Regions from separate parts of the Mus musculus genome. Here all the other regions are reported to be linked to region 1. The links are microRNA targets in miRTarBase. Many come from high-throughput screens and were not tested one by one. Region 1 holds a microRNA gene; each other region holds the end of a gene's coding sequence.
The links. Region 1 holds the annotated microRNA mmu-miR-3066-5p (UUGGUUGCUGUAGAUUAAGUAG, at 2,073-2,094, shown strand). A microRNA usually pairs through its seed, bases 2 to 8, with sites in the 3' UTR of a target mRNA and lowers its output. Matches are read on the target gene's strand: a 7mer-m8 pairs with bases 2 to 8, a 7mer-A1 pairs with bases 2 to 7 and ends in A, and an 8mer does both.

Region 2: the mRNA of Prc1 is a reported target of mmu-miR-3066-5p. Seed matches in the 3' UTR shown: 7mer-m8 at 3,297-3,303.
Region 3: miRTarBase lists Pnpla3 as a target of mmu-miR-3066-5p. Seed matches in the 3' UTR shown: 7mer-m8 at 2,646-2,652.
Region 4: the mRNA of Yme1l1 is a reported target of mmu-miR-3066-5p. Seed matches in the 3' UTR shown: 7mer-A1 at 1,595-1,601.
Region 5: miRTarBase lists Scml4 as a target of mmu-miR-3066-5p. Seed matches in the 3' UTR shown: 7mer-m8 at 3,635-3,641.

The regions. Positions count from the first base shown.
Region 1 is chr12:17,353,332-17,357,452 of GRCm38, forward strand. Mir3066 (microRNA 3066) reads left to right here and starts at 2,061; the gene lies at 2,061-2,143. Nol10 (nucleolar protein 10) reads left to right here. Exons shown (of 21, transcript NM_001008421.1): 4 at 1,906-1,983; 5 at 3,590-3,627.
Region 2 is chr7:80,314,704-80,318,824 of GRCm38, reverse strand. It overlaps Prc1 (protein regulator of cytokinesis 1), which reads right to left. Exons shown (of 15, transcript NM_001374624.1): 15 at 2,566-3,711. The coding sequence ends at 3,640. Rccd1 (RCC1 domain containing 1) reads left to right here. Exons shown (of 9, transcript NM_173445.4): 8 at 1,343-1,372; 9 at 1,775-2,209. The coding sequence ends at 1,926. Among named protein-coding and RNA genes, the nearest start is that of Rccd1, 7.7 kb to the left of the region's middle.
Region 3 is chr15:84,185,786-84,189,882 of GRCm38, reverse strand. Pnpla3 (patatin-like phospholipase domain containing 3) reads right to left here. Exons shown (of 8, transcript NM_054088.3): 8 at 362-3,906. The coding sequence ends at 3,798. Among named protein-coding and RNA genes, the nearest start is that of Samm50, 4.4 kb to the left of the region's middle.
Region 4 is chr2:23,196,313-23,200,433 of GRCm38, forward strand. Yme1l1 (YME1-like 1 (S. cerevisiae)) reads left to right here. Exons shown (of 19, transcript NM_013771.5): 19 at 576-2,948. The coding sequence ends at 719. Among named protein-coding and RNA genes, the nearest start is that of Potegl, 9.1 kb to the right of the region's middle.
Region 5 is chr10:42,957,020-42,961,140 of GRCm38, forward strand. It overlaps Scml4 (Scm polycomb group protein like 4), which reads left to right. Exons shown (of 9, transcript NM_172938.3): 9 at 600-3,763. The coding sequence ends at 725. Among named protein-coding and RNA genes, the nearest start is that of Gm5079, 32 kb to the right of the region's middle.

The DNA of each region.
Region 1 (4,121 bases):
AACTGGACTTACATACAGTTGTAGGCATCATGTGGGCCCTGGTCCTTTGGAAGAGCAGCCAGTCTCTTAACAGTGATACCTTCAGCCTCTGTTTTTATTTTGAGAAACTGGGAAAGAGAGTTGAGAAGACCTGAGATGTTTGGACACAGTTACTGAGAGCTGGAAGGAACTTAGACCTTTAATTCAGGTCTTCTAGATCCAGAGATACTGAAAGATGGGCCCAGTGCTCTTTGGGGTAGGTCAAGTGGTAGGGTTTTGTTACTATTTGATGTAAACAGGCTCACACTATGCAGCTCTGGCTGTCTTAGACCTGGCTGTGTAGAACAGGTTGGCCTCAAACGCACAGAGATGCCCTTGCCTCCCAAGTGCTGAGATTAAAAATGCATCACCAGGGTTTGGTCCCCAGCACTGAAGAGAAGGAAAGGAGCACGTGTGAATCTGGCCTGACTCTAAACTGAATGTTTCCAAAAGAAGCCAAGAGGCTGCTTAGCTCTGTGACCGGTCACAGCTTGCACATGCCCTGGTCTGATTCCTGTGGATAGTAAATGTCCCTGTCTTGACGTTTCAATCTCCAGGAACAAATTTTATCCAACTTATTTTTAGCCACAAGTCCTAGAGCAGTGACAAAGATGGAGGCAGTGGCAGAAGCCAGAGATGAAAGGCCTAGCTCTACCACCCTAAGCAGACAGCAGTGGATTCCTAAATCCACTTCTATCTCCAAGGAAAGGGCCAGAGTGGAGGTAAACAAGAGGACCCTACACCCAACCACACTGTCCCATAACAGTCACTAGCTGTACAGAGATATTTAAATTAAAAGCAATTACAATCAAAACTTCGGTTCTGGGACTATCAATGTTCATTATTGATGTTCATCATTGATGAAAAGTCTCTAAGATAAAAGTAAAGCCTACCTGGTGGTGGTGGCGGCGGCGGCGCACGCCTTTAATCCCAGCACTTGGGAGGCAGAGGCAGGTAAATCACTGAGTTTGGGGCCAGCCTGGTCTATTAGAGCGGGTTCCTGGACAGCCAGGGTTACGTAGAGAAACCCTGTCTTGAAAAACAAACAACCAACAACAACAAAGTTATCTTTATTTTTCCTCACTGCAATGCAAGCATGGTACATTATATGGCATGCAAACATTATAGAAGAACGTGACGTAAGATGTGAGCATCCCTAGGCAGTTGCTGTGTCTACACTTTCTCTACTCACCATCTCTATGCAGCTGCCTTTAGCTTCACAGAATTGGGATTATATGTACTGTGTTGCAGTCTTCGAACTCACTTCTCTTACCATTTGGGAGCTGCTGAGGTGGCTCAGCCAGTAAGGGTGCTGGCTGAGGAGCCTGAGTTCCATCCCTGGACTCCACGTGGTGGACAGAGAGAACCAACTGCACGGCACACATTGGGAGTCTGTTATTGGTGCTGCGGCTCTGCTCATCTTTGTGTGCACCATGTTTCCTGGTGGGGGTTACCACCGTTTATTTAAGCAAGGCCCTATCAGTGGAGCCTGTTTGCTTTTAATCTTTGGCCGTGTGTGACACAAGGTGCAGTGACATTCTTCCTGTAGCTGTTATGCTTGTGGCTGGGTTTCTGTAGTCCTAGTGGTGTAAAATGAAATACAGTTTCAAGGTGAATTTCTGTCACATACCTTACATGTATTGGACATTATCAGGGAAGTTGACTGACACAAATATTAAGCATCCTTTTTTGTCTTGTCAAGCTGTTTGATTGTTTCTGTCTTCTTCGCTGGATTACTGTGACTCTTCTAAGGTATTTTAATTTCATTCTCTGTGGTTCTTTGATTTGAGGATAATTATCTTACCTCAGGACAGAAAGAGCACAAAGCAGTTGTATAAGGTGTGGCTATGCAACTTTGGTTTTGCATCATGCTAATTTTTTTTATAGGAACATATAAGCCTCGGGTCCGGTGTTATGACACATATCAGTTATCCCTGAAGTTTGAAAGGTGCTTGGATTCTGAAGGTAAGAGGCCAACCCTGAGTTCATAAATAGCTTTTCATAATTGTCTATTGTACTGCTCTTTAAAATGGGAGTGAGTAGTGTGGTATGTTTTGGTTGCTGTAGATTAAGTAGTTTAATATGATGCTGCACTTAATAGACCGCAACCTGCACTGGCCATGCTCTGGGCTGCGCACAGGGCTTCTCTCAGGGGATCTGCCAGGTGGGCTCTTACCTTTAAGGCTGGTCTAGAGTAGGCTTCCAGCCTCACAAAGGTATGGCTATGGGACTATGGGTCTGGAAGGTAGTGTCTCCCTTCTTGCTGGGTCTCAGCTGGACTCCATTTGCTTTATAAGGCTGCCAGCATTTTTTAAAAAAATCTTATGTGTATGGGTATTTTGCCTGCATATCTGTGCACTATGCATGTGCCTGATACCATAGTAGGCCAGAAGAGGGCATCTGATCCACATAGACTGGAGTTACAGATGTGGTGCATGTGGGTGCTGGGACTTGCTCGAACCTGGGTGTTCTGGAACAAATGCTTTTAACCACCGAGTCCTATCTCCCTCCCCGAGAGACTTCTTCTTTTAAGAGGTTCATGTGATTAAACAAATCTTCCCTTGGTCATATTGTATAATGGAACCTCAGGGAGCATCTACTCTCAGCAGGGGCCTGGTGCCCTGTGAAGGTCACAGGGGGCATTTTGAGAATTCTGTCTAATACAGACAGCAAGGTAAAATGGCAAGGGTCAGTTATTATCAGTTAACCAGTGTTTTAGGAACAATGGGAGAGAAGTAAATGGGATACAGCGCTGTGTAGAATAACCAGCATACCTTCCTAGTCTCACCCTTGCTGCTAGAGAACATAGAAACTTTGTATGCTATTAATAACACATCTTTTACAATGTTTTTGTGTAGAGGTAAACTTGGTATAGGCGAAGAGTTACTGTTGCCTTCTTTCTTTCTTTCTTTTTTTTTTTTTTTGTTTGTTTGTTTGTTTGAGACAGGATTTCTCTTTGCAGTCATGGCAGGTTCAGAACTCATTATCTAGACCAGACTGGCCTTAGACTCGCAGAGGTCTTTCTTTCTCTCCCAAGTGCTAGGAGTAAAGTCCTGCACCACCACAGGAACACCCAGCCTGGGGTCCCATTTTAAAGGCTGCTGTTTAGATTATATTTCAAAATCTTAAAACTACTAAGAACATCTCAGCAAAATTATGGCAAAAATGTTTAGGATCATCCTAAATTTACTTTAGTTCTGTTAAAAAAAAATCTAGATGTAAGTAATAACTTTCCATTTAGTATTAGTGGGGATGTTCTTCTTGTTGCATGGAGAGGTAGGACAAACACAGCAATTATATATAATTATTCACCAGTTAAACCAGTTAAGAGGGCTGGGGAGATGTCTCGGTGGTTAAGAGCACTGATTGCTCTTCCAGTGGTCCTGAGTTCAATTCCCAGTAACCACATGGGTGCGCAAAACCATCTGTCTGATGCCCTCTTCTGGTGTATCTGAAGAGAGCAATGGTGAATACATTTAAAACAAAAACAATTAGAATCCTCACCTGAAGTTTGTGGTTTTGTTTAAACACTGGTTGATAATTGTGGTTTTTTTTTTTTCCTATTTTTCAGTTGTCACCTTTGAGATTTTATCAGATGACTATTCAAAGGTATGTTTTATAGCATATTTACTTTTTATTTTTATTTATATGCACGTGTGTGTCTTTGACAGTGAACGCCGTGCATGTGCAGTTGCCCTTGGAAGCCAGAGGGGGCATCAGATCCTCAGGGGATTGTGAGCTGCTGATCTGATCCCAGGTTCTCTGAAAGAACAGCAAGTGCTCTTAACTGCTGAACTGTGTCTCTGGCTCTGGGACTTATTTTTGTAGTAAATATTTTTAAGATAATTCCCAGCGATAAAAAAAAAAAATCACTGTGTAATAATAGGTAATATATCATTTTCTGTCATTTTTCGGCCAAGTACATGTATGATGTACAGTATCTTTAAAAAAAGAAAAACAAAACACTGGGAGTGAACTTTTGCTCACCCTAACGTCAAGTTGGTTGTCAGTGTCTCCAGGCCTCACCTTTATTCTAAGGGATTGGTAGCAGTCACCCTTTGTTAGGTACCTTATGGTCGCGATCTGTGGTTCTGATTACTGAT
Region 2 (4,121 bases), not on the chromosome of region 1:
AGCTGGGGACTGCAGCTTGCCATGCCTGCCCATTTTTAATTTTAGAAAGAGTCTCCATTTATACAGAATTATTTTGAAACTCCTGGACTGAAGCAGTTGTCAGGCTTTGGAGCAGCTGTGATTATAGACCCCATCATGTGCTGGGGATGAGTCCAGGGCCTCTACTGAGCTAAGCAAGCACATCACTACTATGTTTTCCTTCCTTCCTTCCTTTCTTTCTTGTTTTTGGGTTTTTTTTCTAGTCCGGGTTTCTTTGTACAGCCTTGGCTGTCCTAGAACTCACTCTGTAGACCAGGCTGGCCTGGAACTCAGAAATCTGCCTGTCTCTGCTTCCCAAGTGCTGGGATTAAAGGCGCGCACCACCACTGCCCAGCTTATTATTTTTTAAATCAACATGGAGGAACTATATATTTGATGGTTTGTTAAGGAAGCTGAATTTAGGGCTGGAGAGATGGCTCAGTGGTTAAGAGCTCCCGACTGCTCTTCCGAAGGTCCGGAGTTCAAATCCCAGCAACCACATGGTGGCTCACAACCATCTGCACAGCTACAGTGTACTCATATACATAAAAATTAATAAATCTTTTAAAAAATATATATATAATTAAAAAAAAAAAAGAAAAGTTTCATGCTGGGAAAGGTGGCACTCACCTCCAATACTAACCCTTGGAATGAGGCAGGAGACTGAAGCTTTGAGGTCTGAGAAACTGTACTGAGGTGTCTCAGCATTAGGAAGGGAGAGAACCATTGTAATAAAACAAAAAAGGGGGCTGGTGAGATGGCTCAGTGGTAAGAGCAATGACTGCTCTTTCAAAGGTCCTGTGTTCAAATCCCAGCAACCACATGGTGGCTCACAACCACCTGTAATGAGATCTGACTATATTTATAATAAATCAATCTTTGTGCCTGAGTGAGCAGGGCCAGCTGGAGTGAGGAGGTTGGATCAGAGCCAGCAGAGGTCCTAAATTCAATTCCCAACAACCAGATGGAGGCTCACAACTATCTGTACAGCTACAGTGTGTACTCATATACATAAAATAGTAAACAAATCTTTAAAAAACGAAAAAAAAAGGTTGACTCCACAGCTTTAGGCCAATATGTTCTTCTAAAAGGTGGTTGGTTAATCAGTTGTGGGCAGAAAACCTGTCCCACAGAGGGTGTGACTCCATGTATTGAGGCCAGTTGGTACCTAGAAAGTTCAGCTTTTTGATCCCTGGCATTTTACCAGCCCACATGTGATAGAGCATAATCCCAGCTTGCTGTCTGTGACTTGTGCCAGGCTGAGTGGTATCTTGCTGGGAGCAGAACAGTAGATGGCAGCTACTCACTGTCTCTTTGGTTGCAGGCACAGGAGAACTCTATACCTGGGGCTGGGGTAAGTAAAAAGTTTCCTGATCATTAAATCAAGGGGAAGGACCAGAGAAAATAGAACAGGTCATGACCAAGTTACACAAACTAGAGGGGCAGGGGTCGCAGCCTGAGCAATGGGAGGACTGAAAAAAAAACGCTCTCCCTTGGGTGGGAGAACAGATACACTTAGGAGGCCCAAGGGCAGACATGAGAGAAATAAGATGGCCAGGGTGAAGGAGCTGTTCTCATCTTGATGTAGGTAGCAGAGACTTCTCCGGGGACCCCACAGTTGGCTTGGGCTTAAGTTTTCAGAATCCACACAAGACCCATCAGGCTGTGTATAGCTCTCAAGGCAGTATGTGGGCTGGCATCTTTCTGAGGGGAAAGCAGCAAGGCCTAGAAGAGGAAGGGCTTCCTTTCATTCTAGGTAAATACGGACAGCTTGGCCACAAGGACAGCACCAGCTTGGATCGACCCTGCTGTGTGGAGTACTTTGTAGAAAGACAACTTGAAGTAAGGGCTGTGACATGTGGACCCTGGAATACCTATGTCTATGCAATGGAAAGAGACAAAAGCTGAACTATCCCTTAGTGGATCCCCACTTATGTGCCTGGGTGAGAAAGAACTCTGCTTCAACATGCTGTCCTAGGTGCATGGAAACCTAAGTTTTGAAACAAGGTTCACAGCGATCTCCTCTGCCTTCTAAGTGCTGGGATTAAAGGTGCATGATTTCAGAATAAGACAAAGCTTACAAGGCATGTATGAAAGAATTGAAGATATATATATCTTCAATTTATATTTATATATATATATATAAATAATAAATAAATAATAAATAATAAATAAATAATAATAAATAAATAAAAAATAATAAATAATAAATGTATAAATAATAATATAAATATAAATTGAAGATATATATATCTTCAATTTATATTTATATATATATATAAATATTTTTGTATGTAAATATATACATGTATATGTATATATATCTATATCTAATTTCTGGAGTAGTGCCAGGCCTTCCACGTGCACCAACAGCTTAGCTATACCCAGCCCAGAGGCTTTAATAGCTGCAAAATGAGAAAATATCCCCAAATGAAAAAGAGTAAATCCAAACTATTCTGAGACTCTTGAAACTTCTAAATCCTTTGCACTTCGCCTTTTAGTGAGTTTAATCTATAGATCAAAGCAACCATTGAAGACAAAACAGTGTAGTATTTAAAAGGTAACTATACACATTTTATTTTCATACATTTAAAAACAACATATATGTGTGTGAAGAGCAGACTGACAGGTTTTCAAGATCAGTCAGTGTGGGCAGAACTGGCACAGACAGACAGAATAAATATAGTGCTTTGGGGAAGAGTAGTGATGGGTTTGGAGAGCCTCATTGTGGACGTGATTACACAGATAACTTGTAGATGTGCAAAGTTGCTGACTCCATGACAGGAATGGCCCAGCCCACCAGACAGCCTCTCTATGTGGTTGTCATCTACAGGGAACAGACTGGGCCTAATGAGCACAGGGTTGGGAGACTGGAGAAAAACTCAACAGGTCAGACAAGCATGTGTGTTCACACATATACCTCAAGAAATTGCACTACAGAAATGACTGCTACTCTTTTTGGCAGCAGGTCAGGCCATCTCATACTGGAACTCAAGAAACCCTCACTGGGATAGTGCCAGCCAGGTACACGCCTCTGGGTGACATCAAAGCTTCCATAGCTACAGCATTAATCAAATGTCCGCGAACAAAAATATATATATTTTTAGATGTTACCAGAATTACTTCATGTCTTGTACCCCTGTATGCCAAAGCAGGCCACAATCGTTTTTTCATTTTCTAATATATAGTATTGAAATAAGTAGAATTAAAAAAAAAATTATTTCTGCACACCAGAAGAGGGCATCAGATCCCATTATAGATGGTTGTGAGCCACCATGTGGTTGCTGGGATTTGAACTCAGGACCTCTAGAAGAGCAGTCATAGTAGAATTACGGGGTAGAGAAAAAAAGTTAGCTACCAGATGTTAAAACTTGTACTTAACTATCATAACTAGCCTTTAAGGTCTCTCTTGAATCAAAAGCAAGTCTTTGTGACCTCAGTTCGCCCGGGACAGCTTCCTTCTGTCCTACTCACGTCTGAGTTAGGTGCAGTTAATAGAACCTGCCCAAGGTAGTTTCAAACATCTAAACTGATGGAAATGTATATGTCACTCCTTGTCTACGTATCCGTCAGTCCAGTCCAGGCACAGGAAGCCCCAGCTGCCTAACTGGACAAGGACTCTCAGGACTGGATGTTGGTTGAATTGAGGATTCGAGACGTAGCATCAGATCTGGAAGCCTTTGAAAGTTCTCGCTGTTGAGAAACAAGCACCATTAGTGAGTAGTCAGTCTACACCCCTCGCTTTACACGTGCTCGAGGAGCTTTAGCACAAAGCCGCCAGGGAAGTTCCTGAGTTCCCAGCACTGCTGTGCTAAGGAACCCTAGCACCATTCTGTCAGTCACAAGCACAAGCCTAGCACGTGTGCACATAGCCCATTCCCAGTCCAATCGTAAACTTCACCAAGAGAAACCCCTTACATTTCACATGGTAGTAGTTGTCTGGCCAAGAGAGCAACAAACTTCGGTGCTTTCTCACCCTGCTGGGGATAGAAGCCCAAAGCCTGGCACATGCTAGCAGCTTTGGTTTCTTGACCCCTTTGCATAACAAGGGTCAGGTGACTTATCTACCAATCCCTGGGGCTGAGGGCTTTGTAACCTGCTGG
Region 3 (4,097 bases), not on the chromosome of region 1:
CCAGAGAGAGTCACATGCGCACCCAGCCCTTTGTCACAGTTATTTGCTCCAGACTTTTCCCTCAGTGGTTCTGGAGACTATGCCATTGTCCTTTCCCAACGCTTCCTAGAAATGCACATTCCAAGCTGATGTGGTTGTGTGTGAACATGGTACTGGGAAGGCTGAGGCAGGAGAATGGAAAAAGCAGGTGAGCCTGAACTACATAGTTCCAGACCAGCCGGGGCTATACAGCACCAACCCAGTCATTTTGCAGTGTGGAGGACATTCAGCCTGCACGCCTACAGGGAAGAACACAAACTTATAGAGGAAGCTGTCCCACAGGCCCTTTTAGTTGTAGGAGAGGCAGAAGAGACAGAGAATACATTTTTCTAAAAAAAATCACATTTATTTGTTTTTTGTTCCCCACATTTATTATGGACCCTTTTCCCTTAAACAGTTGTGGTTATTTTTGGTGTATCCATTCAATCCTTCTGCTGTTCCACTAGTTTGCATACTCATTTGCATAAATTCACCCACACCTGCTTTTAATAAACAAATGAACCAGCCTTGCTAAGGGGCTTACAAGTCAAGACATTGCTCCCTGCTGCTCACTGTCTGACTCCTGAGGTGTTCCTGAGAATGGAGAGACTCCAAACCAGTGGGAGTTTTGTCTGATAGGGTGGCAGGAATATTCTCTACTGATGAGAAACGTCCAGAAAGGGGCAGCTCAAAGCAAGGCAGAAGTTTCTACTTTTTTTTTTTTTTTTTTTTGAGACAGGGTCTCATGTAGCCAGAGCTAACCTCCAACTCCCTAAATAGCCAAGGAAGACCTTGAACTTATGATCCTCTTGCCTCTACTGCTTGAGTGTTGGGATTACAGGCCGATGTCACTGCCTGTCACTCCACAGTTTATAAGGTGCTGAGATTGGACTCTGGGCTTCAAGCCTAGAGAAGTCCTCTGACAACTGAGCTGCACCCTAGTTCCTGGTTTCTTTTCTTTCCTTGGGACAGTCTTATCTTCTGTGTAGCCTAGACACTTTGTCTCTAGAACCACATTCTCTCTCCCAGAGTCCTTTCTTATCCCATCTGGATCAACCGTGCTGAGATTATATGATTCCTCCTGATGTGCTTGCATGAACCTGGAGCTCACTAGGCCTCCAGGAGACTCAGGCATGGGAGACACACACCTTCACTGTCTACACTTAGGAGTATGGGCAGCACCTGGTTTCTTTTGTTTGCTTGTTTCCTTTCTAAAGTGTGAATTACAGGAAACACACACCACACCCACAGCTGTATAGTACACCTGAGAGAAGTGGGTACTTATTCCCATTAACGCTGCTGGTAGTAGATGGGGAGGGAGAGAGGTGGTCATGGCTGATGACTATACAAAGATTTGGAGCCAGTGGAGAAAGCAAGCAAGTTGAGGTTGAGGAGGCAGAGGTCCGATGCTCTCCCTACCTAATTCTAGCCCCACTTAACTGATCATACGTGTAGTTCACCATGCACTCCCTGGTGTGTTTATATAAAATGCTTTATAAATTAGTAAGAGCCAAAGGTGTCCTTAAAAGTAATAAGTTATCTGGCAGGCCCTTTTCAGAGACAGCCACGGCCCGTCCCATCACAATTCCTAAACAGTTTCCTTCCGAGATTGCCCGGTTTGGATTCCAGTTTCCAAACACTGATGCCCTTGGGCTCCCCACTGACTCACAGGCTGAGAGATGGTTTGACACGCTCTTTGTGATAGCCCTTAAGCACCAGACTTCACCCAGACCAAGAGTAGCTTTCTAAACACCAAATCATTGTCTTTGGTTTCTATGGACTACCACTTTAGCCCAGATCCTGTGATCCTGGGGTCACAGGCAATGAGGTCACCACACAGCACCAGGGGGCAGCTGCACAGAGAAACTTCCTAGCTGCCTCCAAAAGTAACAGAACCCTTCCCAGAGGGACAGACAGTATAGCACCCCTCACCCACCCATCATCTAGACACTGTTGCTCCAGATAAAAGGTCAAGCTGGACTGGGGGTGGAAGGCAGGGTGCCCTCAGCTTTGGCCTCTCCTGGACCAACCATGAGAAGAATGTCCAAGTTCACTGGAAGCACGGAGACCAGCAATTTACAAACCAAGATTGCAGGCTCTCAGGTCTTCAGTATTGTAAGAACATGATTGATGTCAGAATCCAGACTCTGCTCAGGTCTCTTCACAGACACTGACAGGCATCTCATAATATTTTACCCCAGAAGTGAGTCTGTCAGCATCGAAGGGGTTTACATCCTGCTCCCCACCCCCTGCCTGCCTCGAGCCTGGCTGTAGGCTCTTGCAGTCAACCTCCCTCATCCTCAAAAGCTCTAAAGAGAGAGTCCCTCCTCTGCTGTGTGGGCTCAGAATCTCTTCAAAGACCCCATCCTGCTTCTATCTCCGATGCCGGGGCCTGAACTCCCTGGTAGCCCCGACTATGCTGTTGTCCTTCTGTCTGTCTGTCCATAGCATTAAAAACTCCTCCAATCAACTTGATAAACCACTTACTCCCCAGGAATTTCTCTCAGAGTTCCCTAGAACTCCACACCTCACCCAAAACCTAATAGATACCTGTAGAGAGAATATGTTATGGATTATATAGATGCATCCACCTGTCAATTAAAAAAAAAAAAAAACCACACCGGGCATGGTTGCGCACGCCTTTAATCCCAGCACTCAGGAGGCAGAGGCAGGCGGATTTCTGAGTTTGAGGCCAGCCTGGCTTACATAGTGAGTTCCAGGACAGCCAGGGCGATACAGAGAAACCCTGTCTCGAAAAACCAAAAATAAATAAATTAATTAATTAAATTAAATTTGGAAAAAAAAAACAAAAACAAAACCATGGCCTATAGGAAAAGGTGGAATAGAAGGTGGAACATCCAGGAGGCAGAAAGAATTATGGAAGATTCATCCGGAAAGATGTGAAGAGCTGGACTCATGGTACCTGAGCACAGGCCACCAGCCATGTGGCAGGATGGAGGTTAAAATTAATGAGTTAAGTTATGAGCTAGTCTGAGAAGAGCCTAGCTATATGGCCAAGGTATTTGTAACTATAATTTGGGTCTGAGTCTTATTTCTGGGAGCATGGGGCTGAGAGGAAGAACCAGCTGTAACTTCTACAGATGCCAGAGAGGGTGGAGCCAGGCAGGGGTGCAACCCAGAGCCACAGCTTCCTCCTGCCTTCAGTGCTGAGGTGTCAGTCCCATCCCTTAAGGCCTTCTCCACCACCTGAACACCCACAGCTTCACCCACCAATAAGCCCTCACCTGGGCCATGGGTTCCCCCCACACAGCACCATGTTCCTTGTCACCTGCTTGACACTGAGTCAAACATTGCTAGAATGTTTGCACAGCCTGAGCACCAAACCTTGCAGTGGTTCTGGCAGAAGAGGCATGCTGAAGAGACAGCTGTGCCTTCCCTTTGGTTTTCAGCCCTTTGATACAATGGAGGCCAAGGAATTGGGATTGTCCCAGGAATCTCATGCTAGGGAGAGAAAGAAGGAACCTTGAAGCCCAGACAATGGTGGGCAGGACCACGCCCTGATTCAGACTGTTTATGTGTAACTCTGTTTAAACTTAAGCCTCCTGTTGGTATCTTAAAGATTAACCGGGTGGGGGCTTGAACCTTTTTATATTCGAATAAACCTGCTTTCTCTGCTACCGGTTTCTTTAATGGCATGCTGGGGACAGGCGGCTGAGCCTGGCTTGTTAAGGCTGTCACCACCCAAGCTCTGACCCTAAGAGCTCTGGGAACAACCGGGAGGGATGCCTATCTGGCCCACACACCCTGGGCCCAAGTATTTACCTGGTAGAGGGGAGCAGGCACATCGTCATTCGGGCACAAACCTGGGATGTCGCCCATTGTAGCCACTGGATATCATCCTGGATATCAGGGAGCCATGTCACCAGCCTGTGGGAAGGAAGCCAAGGACACTATTGGCTTACAGGTGATTCTGGTTTCCTCCCAGGGACCTAACAACAGAGACCTAGCAACAGCTTAGGTCATCACCTGCCTCCATTGCTACCTGAGCTGCCACCAGGTGTGGGTGGCCTGGGAGCTTGTAAGAGGACCATGTTACCCCGGTCCCCTTCTCTATCTCC
Region 4 (4,121 bases), not on the chromosome of region 1:
GGGAACAGGGAAGCATCTAGCATGAGAGTAAGAACTTCAGGAAAGCAGGTTTCCAAGGACACAGCCAGGCTTTAGCTGCTTTGGGGGGTAAAAAAAAGAAATGCCTTAGTAGTTAAAACTGACAAAATGAACATTTTGGAAAGGCAAAGGCTCTTTTGAAACATTTTCTGAATTCTTCTATTGTAATGCATTGCATATACTATTTATATTATGTACAAATAATTTGCATTTTAAACAAAACTTTTAAATGCTTTTTTAAAGTATAAATCAACATGTTTTTTTTTTTTTTCCATTTTTTATTAGGTATTTAGCTCATTTACATTTCCAATGCTATACCAAAAGTCCCCCTTACCCACCCACCCCCACTCCCCTACCCACCCACTCCCCCACTTTGGCCCTGGCGTTCCCCTGTACCGGGGCACACAAAGTCTGCGTGTCCAATGGGCCTCTCTTTCCAGTGATGGCCGACTAGGCCATAATCAACATGTTTTTTAAACCACATTAGTTTTATATTTTTCTTACCTATGTTTTTTGCATCTCTATACTTTCTTATATGACTTGTTTTTCTCTTTCAGGAGTCATATGAACGAGCAAAACATATCTTGAAAACACATGCGAAAGAACATAAGAACCTGGCAGAAGCATTGCTGACCTATGAGACTTTGGATGCCAAAGAGATTCAAATTGTTCTTGAGGGAAAGAAATTGGAAGTGAGATGATAACTCTGTTGATATTGCTGGTTTTATTACAAGAATATACTTAGTCCTGCAGTCTCCTTTGCAACATTTTTCAACCCCCACTCCTGACTTGGTATATAATTCAAGGATGTGAAACACTTTGTCAATCTTCTGTCCCATTATTTGATTTTGGTTATTCCTGTGATGATACCATTGGAGATTAGTAACTCATAGCAAATACGTGAAAGGATAAATAAAGAACTGTCAGGATTAAAGAAAGACATTGAAAAATGTCAATCAATCATGTTGAAAGCAAGCAATCATTTTGTGGGTAATTACTCCAAGTGAGTAAAAATTGTGCCTTTATCTATTGGTAAGGTTTTTTTTTTTTTTTTTTTTTTTTGGAAGGTAAATTTGAAAAGCTACCATCTCCTGATAGTAACATTTCTCTGTGGGGAAAACAATGCTGTGGATAAATCATTTCTACTTACATTAGTAGAAATGCCATTGAGATGTACTTAATTATGTTCTTGATTGACCTTGTAAAATGGCCTTTAAAAGAAACTATTTGAATTGTAAATATGACGATATACTCAGAATTTAAATGATTGTAATGGATTAAAAATGCAGCATGTATGCCCATTTTTTCAAATATTACTATCTCACTGACAAGATTTGTTTCAGAACAACAATATTTTATGAAGTAAACAAGTAACATTATATTCTGAATATCTGTATAATTACATTGAATCTCAAAATCAAAATGAAACCAAAAACTCAATTCCTTTCAAAAATGATCTTTCTCTGTCGCCTTGTCAGAATTGGAAGGCTTGTTCCATCTGCACATTATAGGGTTTACAAGGTAATTTCATATTCAGATCAGTAGACCATAGTGTGAGTGCATTTTATTGGTGTTACAACCAAGTTACATTCTTGAAGGAACTATTAAAATTACATTGTTTTCTTATTGAGGATGTTCATGGTCCTTATTAAAGAAGATAGATATAATTAAAGGGACCTTGTTACATGATATTTTGACCTTTTTTAATGTTAAATTTTTGATACACACAAATTTCACAATTTCAAAGTGAAAAATGTTGATAGAGCTCCATTATATTGATTAAGACCAACAGGTTTTAATTTTCACTGCTTTTTGCTGTCTCCATTGTCACTCATGTTCATGTGTTTGTTCTTTCTCTCTTGTGCCCTCATTCTCTACATATTCATGCATACACATATGGAAAAACATCGGTGTTTTATCTAACCTGACTTCAGACATTTTTACAGTCCCATAGAGCTGTAATTTTCATGTTATAAAACATATCCATTGTAAATATAGATACCAAAGACCCCCCCACCCCCTTTTTAAAATTGTGTAATTACCTCAATTAGGTTTTAGGACAATTTTTTTCAAGCCTTCAAAATTCAAAGTGACTACACAGTTTTGTATCTTGTATTATGTAAAGTTTCAGCTTCATCACTATTCAACATAAAAGTGCTGTTTCACTATCGACATCCAAATTGAATCCCAGTCTCAGTAAATTATATAGCAAGTTTACTGTGGCTTTTGAGTTTAGTTGGTTTTATTGCTTCTACTTTGTGTGTATGCAAAGACTTTAATAACCAAGTGTAGATATAATTAGCTGGAGAATTTTCTGCTCTGTATGTCTGGTAAACCTAGGATATTTCATGAAGTGATTATCAACGTCCTCTGGGTTTCTCATATCACAGAAAGATCACACTGATTGTATCTTGCAGAGTAGCCAACAGTTTTAGGCTAGTAAGCGGCTGATCATTGCGATCCGATTTAGTCAGTACTACATCAAGGCAGCTGAGTTCTCTGGTGAAATGAGGATAAGCCTTTTTTATATTTTTCTTGGGGTGGGTTCTTTTGTTGTTTGCTTGTTTTTTGTTGTTTGTTTAGTTTGGAGTCCTTTCCAGAAAGTTCTGTTTTGTAGCCTAGGCTAGCCTCCAACTGACATCCTTCCACCTGAGCCTCTGGGTGCATCATTCTTGGCACACATATCTTATTTACAGGGTCTTTCTTCACCCTGGTTTGAACTTGGGACTAGGAGCTGCCCTGAGTTGGCAGGACCACCAAAGAATCATGTTCTGGGTTAAATTTAGTGATTTTCATGAAGAAACAAGTCATACTTTTTTGTAGGTCTCTTGTTAATTCCTGGAGTCATAGAATGGTTGGTTGTTTTGGTTTCGTTGAGGTTTGTAGTTGACTCTTTTCAAATAAAAATGAATTTATCCTGATATATTTTATCACATTCCAACTGAAGCATTTTAAGGAGAGTGAATTTAGAAAAGAATTTTAAGCTTTTTTGAGCTCATATTCAATGCCATCCAAATGCCTGAATTGAATTATGAGAATTGGTCTCTCCTGTTTCTATCTCCCAGCATGAACACCCACTTAAATCATTCATTGTATGTGAAAATACCTTGACGTGTATCAAGCAAGCCTGGTTGCAGCATCCTAAGTTGGGAATGATAGAAAGACAGCTGTGCATTACTTAGGTTACACTTGCCCACATCTCAACAGCAGAGCATGAAGATACATGCTCTCCGTGGGGACAAAGGAAGAAAGTACAGAATCCGGTTTCAGACTCTAATACTGGGCTTGCACAGATCCCCACGGACACTTTCCCGTGGTGACAGTGAGATGGTGACTGACTGTAATGGCCATCAGCTCAGAGTAACCTATAGCAACAGGTATGCCTCAGCCCTCGGCAGTCTTGATTCCGTTCCCTCTGAATGCCACATCCAGCCACGGTAGTTCTAGGTTTAGAGTTCTTCTGCAGCTCCAGTGATCGTGACCTTAAGAATCTTAACAGAAGACCTGGGGAGGCTTACTATGGAATGCCATTTTGCAAAGTTAGGCTACAGAGGTTGGATTCAGCACAGCTTCAGTGAGCAGGCAGTAGGCCAGAAACAATTAGAAAAATAGCAAATCAAGATGCAAGTCAAGGTACTACTAGATAAAAGGGGAAATTTTAACTGTCAGTGGCAAAGAATATATAGCACCCCTTTTGAAAATATAAACCTCAAGGTAGTAATTTTGAAGTTAGAGCAATTTAATAGATTTAAGTAATTTTTTTAATCTTTTGAGTTTATACATACTGTGAGTGAAGCATAAAATGGTGGTAGAGAGCAGTAGCAATAAAATTGTGAGAAATTAACACAGCAACAAAAAAGCCCCCTAACAAATGAAAATGAAAAAAAATCAGGAGCCAGTGAAAGGACTCAAGTGTAAAGCATTTGCTGCTGGGACTGATGACATTAAGCCATACACATGGTACAAGCAGAGAACCAACTGTTCTTGTAGGGGTTTGTTTTATCAAGTTGACACAAACTAGAGTCAACTGGAAAGAGGGGCCTCAAGTTATAAAATGTCTCCATCGGATTGACCTAAGGCAAGTCTTGAGTCTTAGTGATTTG
Region 5 (4,121 bases), not on the chromosome of region 1:
AGTGGGGCAAACGGTAAGAATTACTGTTACCTGCCCAGCTTACGATATTAATTCTGGATTGGTAGTATAACGAATTGCTACAAATCCAGGGTCTTTAGACAAGAGACATCTCTTATCTCTATTTCTGTGGGTCTGGAGCCTGCCTGGATCTCAGGCGTTGGCAGGGATAAATTCGTGTCTAGGTGTTCTAGGGACAATCTGCTTGCCTGCCTTTCTCAGCTTCACGACCCTCTTTAAAGCCAGGATCATCGACCCTGGTCCTCCTCAGGCTGACCTGTCTGTGGCTCTCTCTGTCTTTACCTGGATAGATGACATATACATGAGATAGTAGGAATGCAGGCGAAACTGTCTGCTTCAATCAAACAAGGGCAGGAATCTGAAAGGTGCAAGGTAGCAACTGAGTTTCCGGAGGGGCTGGGAAGACGAGGGCCTCGTAGTTGCTTGCTTTGTTTCCAAGAGCTTTCCCAGAACAAGTAGTATGCGCGCTCTAATCTACTCACCTGTCCTTAAAGTGCCCCTGGAGCACCCGCGGGGCACCCACGGGGCCATAACTACCGTTTGGCTGCTCTGACTGTCCTTTGGCTTTCCCTTCTCTCCAGGAGATTGATGGCAATGCCTTGTTGTTGCTGAGGAGCGACATGATCATGAAGTACCTGGGACTGAAGCTGGGACCCGCACTGAAACTCTGCTATCACATTGACAAGCTAAAGCAAGCTAAATTCTAAAGAGTTGGAAACAAAGCCCCACATCTCCAGGTTACTTCTGCCAGACCAGCATCCGGCCAACATCATGAGTAGACTGTCCTCTTAAACGTCGCAGCCACAACGACTGTGTCTTCTTATAGAACGTGTGCATCCTTGCCTTTTCTAATATTCCTAGTGGCCCCTTTCAGACACTCAACCGTGTGCTAGACTTGTCAGAAAAATCACAAAAAGGCTATTACAGTGTTCCTGACGTGCTGGTCACTCTTTACGGGTGCTATTTGTGCCGCGACAGAGTGGATAACTGAATGCTGTCACACAAGGAGAGCCCTGGAGGGGGCTCACAAAGTCCCTGCAGGGGCTGTGGGGACGCCCCCAGTGGCGGTGGCAACTGCTCCCTGTTCTTGGGACCGATCAGCATGAGTTTCCCTGGACTCAGCCCTGGAAGTTGTCTTCTGATGACCACCTCGCCTTGCACTATCTGGAAAACTTGAATTTTTGTTGCTGTTTTTTTGTCCGTTTGTTTGTTTTTGTTTTTGTTTTCCGCTCTCGAAGAGAAAAGGGAAAGGATGTTTTGGAGCCCTAGCTACTGAAGTCCTTCCTTGCTCCACTAGAGGGCAGACTGCTAACGAGGTTTCGGGATGCACAGACTGCGTGGCCGGGGTAGGGTTTTTATAAGCAAGACCTCGCTTGCACAGGGACAGGGAATGAAGTCCACATTGAGCACCCCAGATTGCCACTTGGGAAGAAATCAGGCTCTGTCAGGCGGGGTCCAGCTCATATCCATTACTTACTGACTTACTCGGTACAAATTCCGAAGCAGCCATCTGCCTAAACAAAGACTGGTGTCCCTTCTCTCCCAGAGTCTCACTGAGGCTCTGATATGACGGCATGCTGAAGAATCTTGGTGACATTTAGCTATGGGTATTTCTTGAAAAAAAGGCGGGGGGCGGGAACTGTCTCGACAAAGTTTGAAATAGGACATACTGATTTCTAGTTTCATGGCTGCGTTCTTAGCTGTGTGTCTGTGGCTAATTTTTCTAGTCTTCAACAAATACGCAGACGTGTTTTTATTGGGTTTAATTCAATTTACAAATAGGTTTTTACTCTTCACTGTGAAGTAATGGGAAAAAATTGATTTTCTACCCTTTGCAGCTGTGTCCAGAGAGGGGGGTGGAGCCAGGGTTTCCTAGGCAGAAGGGTGACCTCTTTACTGCCTATTCTTTATGGAATCCCTCCCCCTTTGTTTATTCTCGATGAATAGAGAACTCATGGGCACAGCCTTTTCCTTAAAGGCACATCTGGGGAAGGTGAGGGTCAAGGATAACCTAGGGTCTCCCTTGACAATAGTATGAATTTTAGAAAGGCACCTTCCCTCAGGCTGCAGTCTGAGCAAGATCTCAGCTGGCAAGTGTAGCCAGACGTCCTGGACTGTAACAAGATAAATGCGGTCTCTCAGATGGATCTACCTATTGTACCAATCAGGTAGAATTTAGGTAAAGAGCACAGGACATACTCCATGCTGTGCTATAAGGGCCCACTTTGATGTTCCCTGTTTGTGGGAGTGTGACATGACCCTGCAAGATCTTTGTTACATATACACGGGTGGTTGGACTTAAGTAAGACAGAGAAGGAGAAAATTGTCCCAGAGCTTCCCACTGAATGGAACTTGATCAGGCTGTGGATGAGCCGGATGTCTGTTATTGCTAGCATGAGGCAGAAATGACCTTGAATTAGACCTTGGAGAGACTCTTTAAGATGATAAAGCAATGAGCGGACTCTGCCTAGAAGAAGATTTTTAACTCTGGGTGCTCGCTGCTGCTCTGAAGTTAGATCCTTGTCTCAGAAAGCATCAGGCAGTTCCCACATACAGAACTGCTTGTGTGAAAGCTTTGAGATTAGACCGGTCACTTCACACAAACGTTTGCCCTTCCCTGGAGGTTCACGGTGCCTCTTCCAGGGACACGGGCTCCTTAGTGAGTGGTGGTATTAAGCTTGCCAAATGTCCTGCCTAAACTTACCCATGTCTCACTGGTGCCCCAAGTTAAAACAAGGCCAAACAAGTCAGGGGAGGCCTCTAATAATTTTTGAAGGAGAGCTAGAACCCAGTTCAAGTCTGTGGAGGAACGGAGCTGTGTCCCCAGACATGATGTCTTATTTCACACGAAGCCTTAAATTAGCTCAATTGTAGAATTCCAGATATTTAAGGTTTGGCCAAACAAAACAAAATAAAACAAAACACCAAGAAGCAATCTCATTAGTCTTGGAATGAGGGGCTGCCACATCACAGAAGGCCCAGCGGAACCAATTCTTCTTGCCTGTTTTTTCATAGAATCTAATTAGTTGACCAAATCAGCATTGCAATACTGCAAGTATAATTAATTTTCATCCCTCTCAAAAATCTTGTCAAACAGCGCAGCTAAATAGCTTCTCAAATGTAAAACATGCAAGGCCACTTCCTCTAAACAGACCTTCCAGGGTCAGACCGTAAGGGTTACCCTGGCCCAGATGAGCAGGACTTGAACTCACACCTGATAGTTCACAGGCTTGCTCTTCCAGCTGCACAGCATTGCTTCAGCTTGGAGTGGATAATGATCACATTTTGCATAATTCCAAATTAAAGAGTGTGGGTGCTCATGTTCCAAACATTTCCAATTACATTTGTCTGTTAAACACTTGGGGGAGGGAGGTTTCAAGAGAGTTCTGTTGCCTAAAGCATTTTAAATGTTTTATGAAACACATTATTCCCTTTGTGAAGATTTTAGATAAAAGATGTGGCCTGTGTGTATGAGTCTGTGTGTGTATTTGTGTATCTCTCTCTGTGTGTCTGTCTGTGCCTCTGTGTGTGTATGTGTCTGTTTATGGGGCTGGAGAGATGACTCAGCAGTTAAGAGCACTGACTGCCCTTCCGAAGGTCCTGAGTTCAAATCCCAGCAACCACACCGTGACTCACAACCCTCTGTAATGGGATCCTATGCCCTCTTCTGGTGTGTTTGAAAACAGCCTACAGTGTGTTTGAAAACAGCTACAGTGTACCCAAATATAATAAATAAATCTTAAGGAAAAAAAAAAAGAGTCGCCACTTTCTGAAACCAGATCACTATGTTTATAAAAAAAAAAAAAAAGGATGTCTCTGTGTGTGTCTGTATGTCTTTCTGTGCCTGTCTATAAACCTGTGTGTGTATATTTGTGTCTGTCTGTGTGTGTGTGTCTATGCATCTCCAGATACTGGAGTTGAAAAATCTAAGAAGTGGTTGTGAGGATAGCAGCTATTGCATGTTCTCAAATATCTTTCCAGCTTTGTAGTGCAGAGGCGCGGCATGGTCTGGTGCGGCATGGTCTGTTACGTGTAGGCATTTCCTCTTATTGTAGCAGGGCCTGTTCTGTGCACAGCTAGATGACCAGAACAGTCCTGGTGCC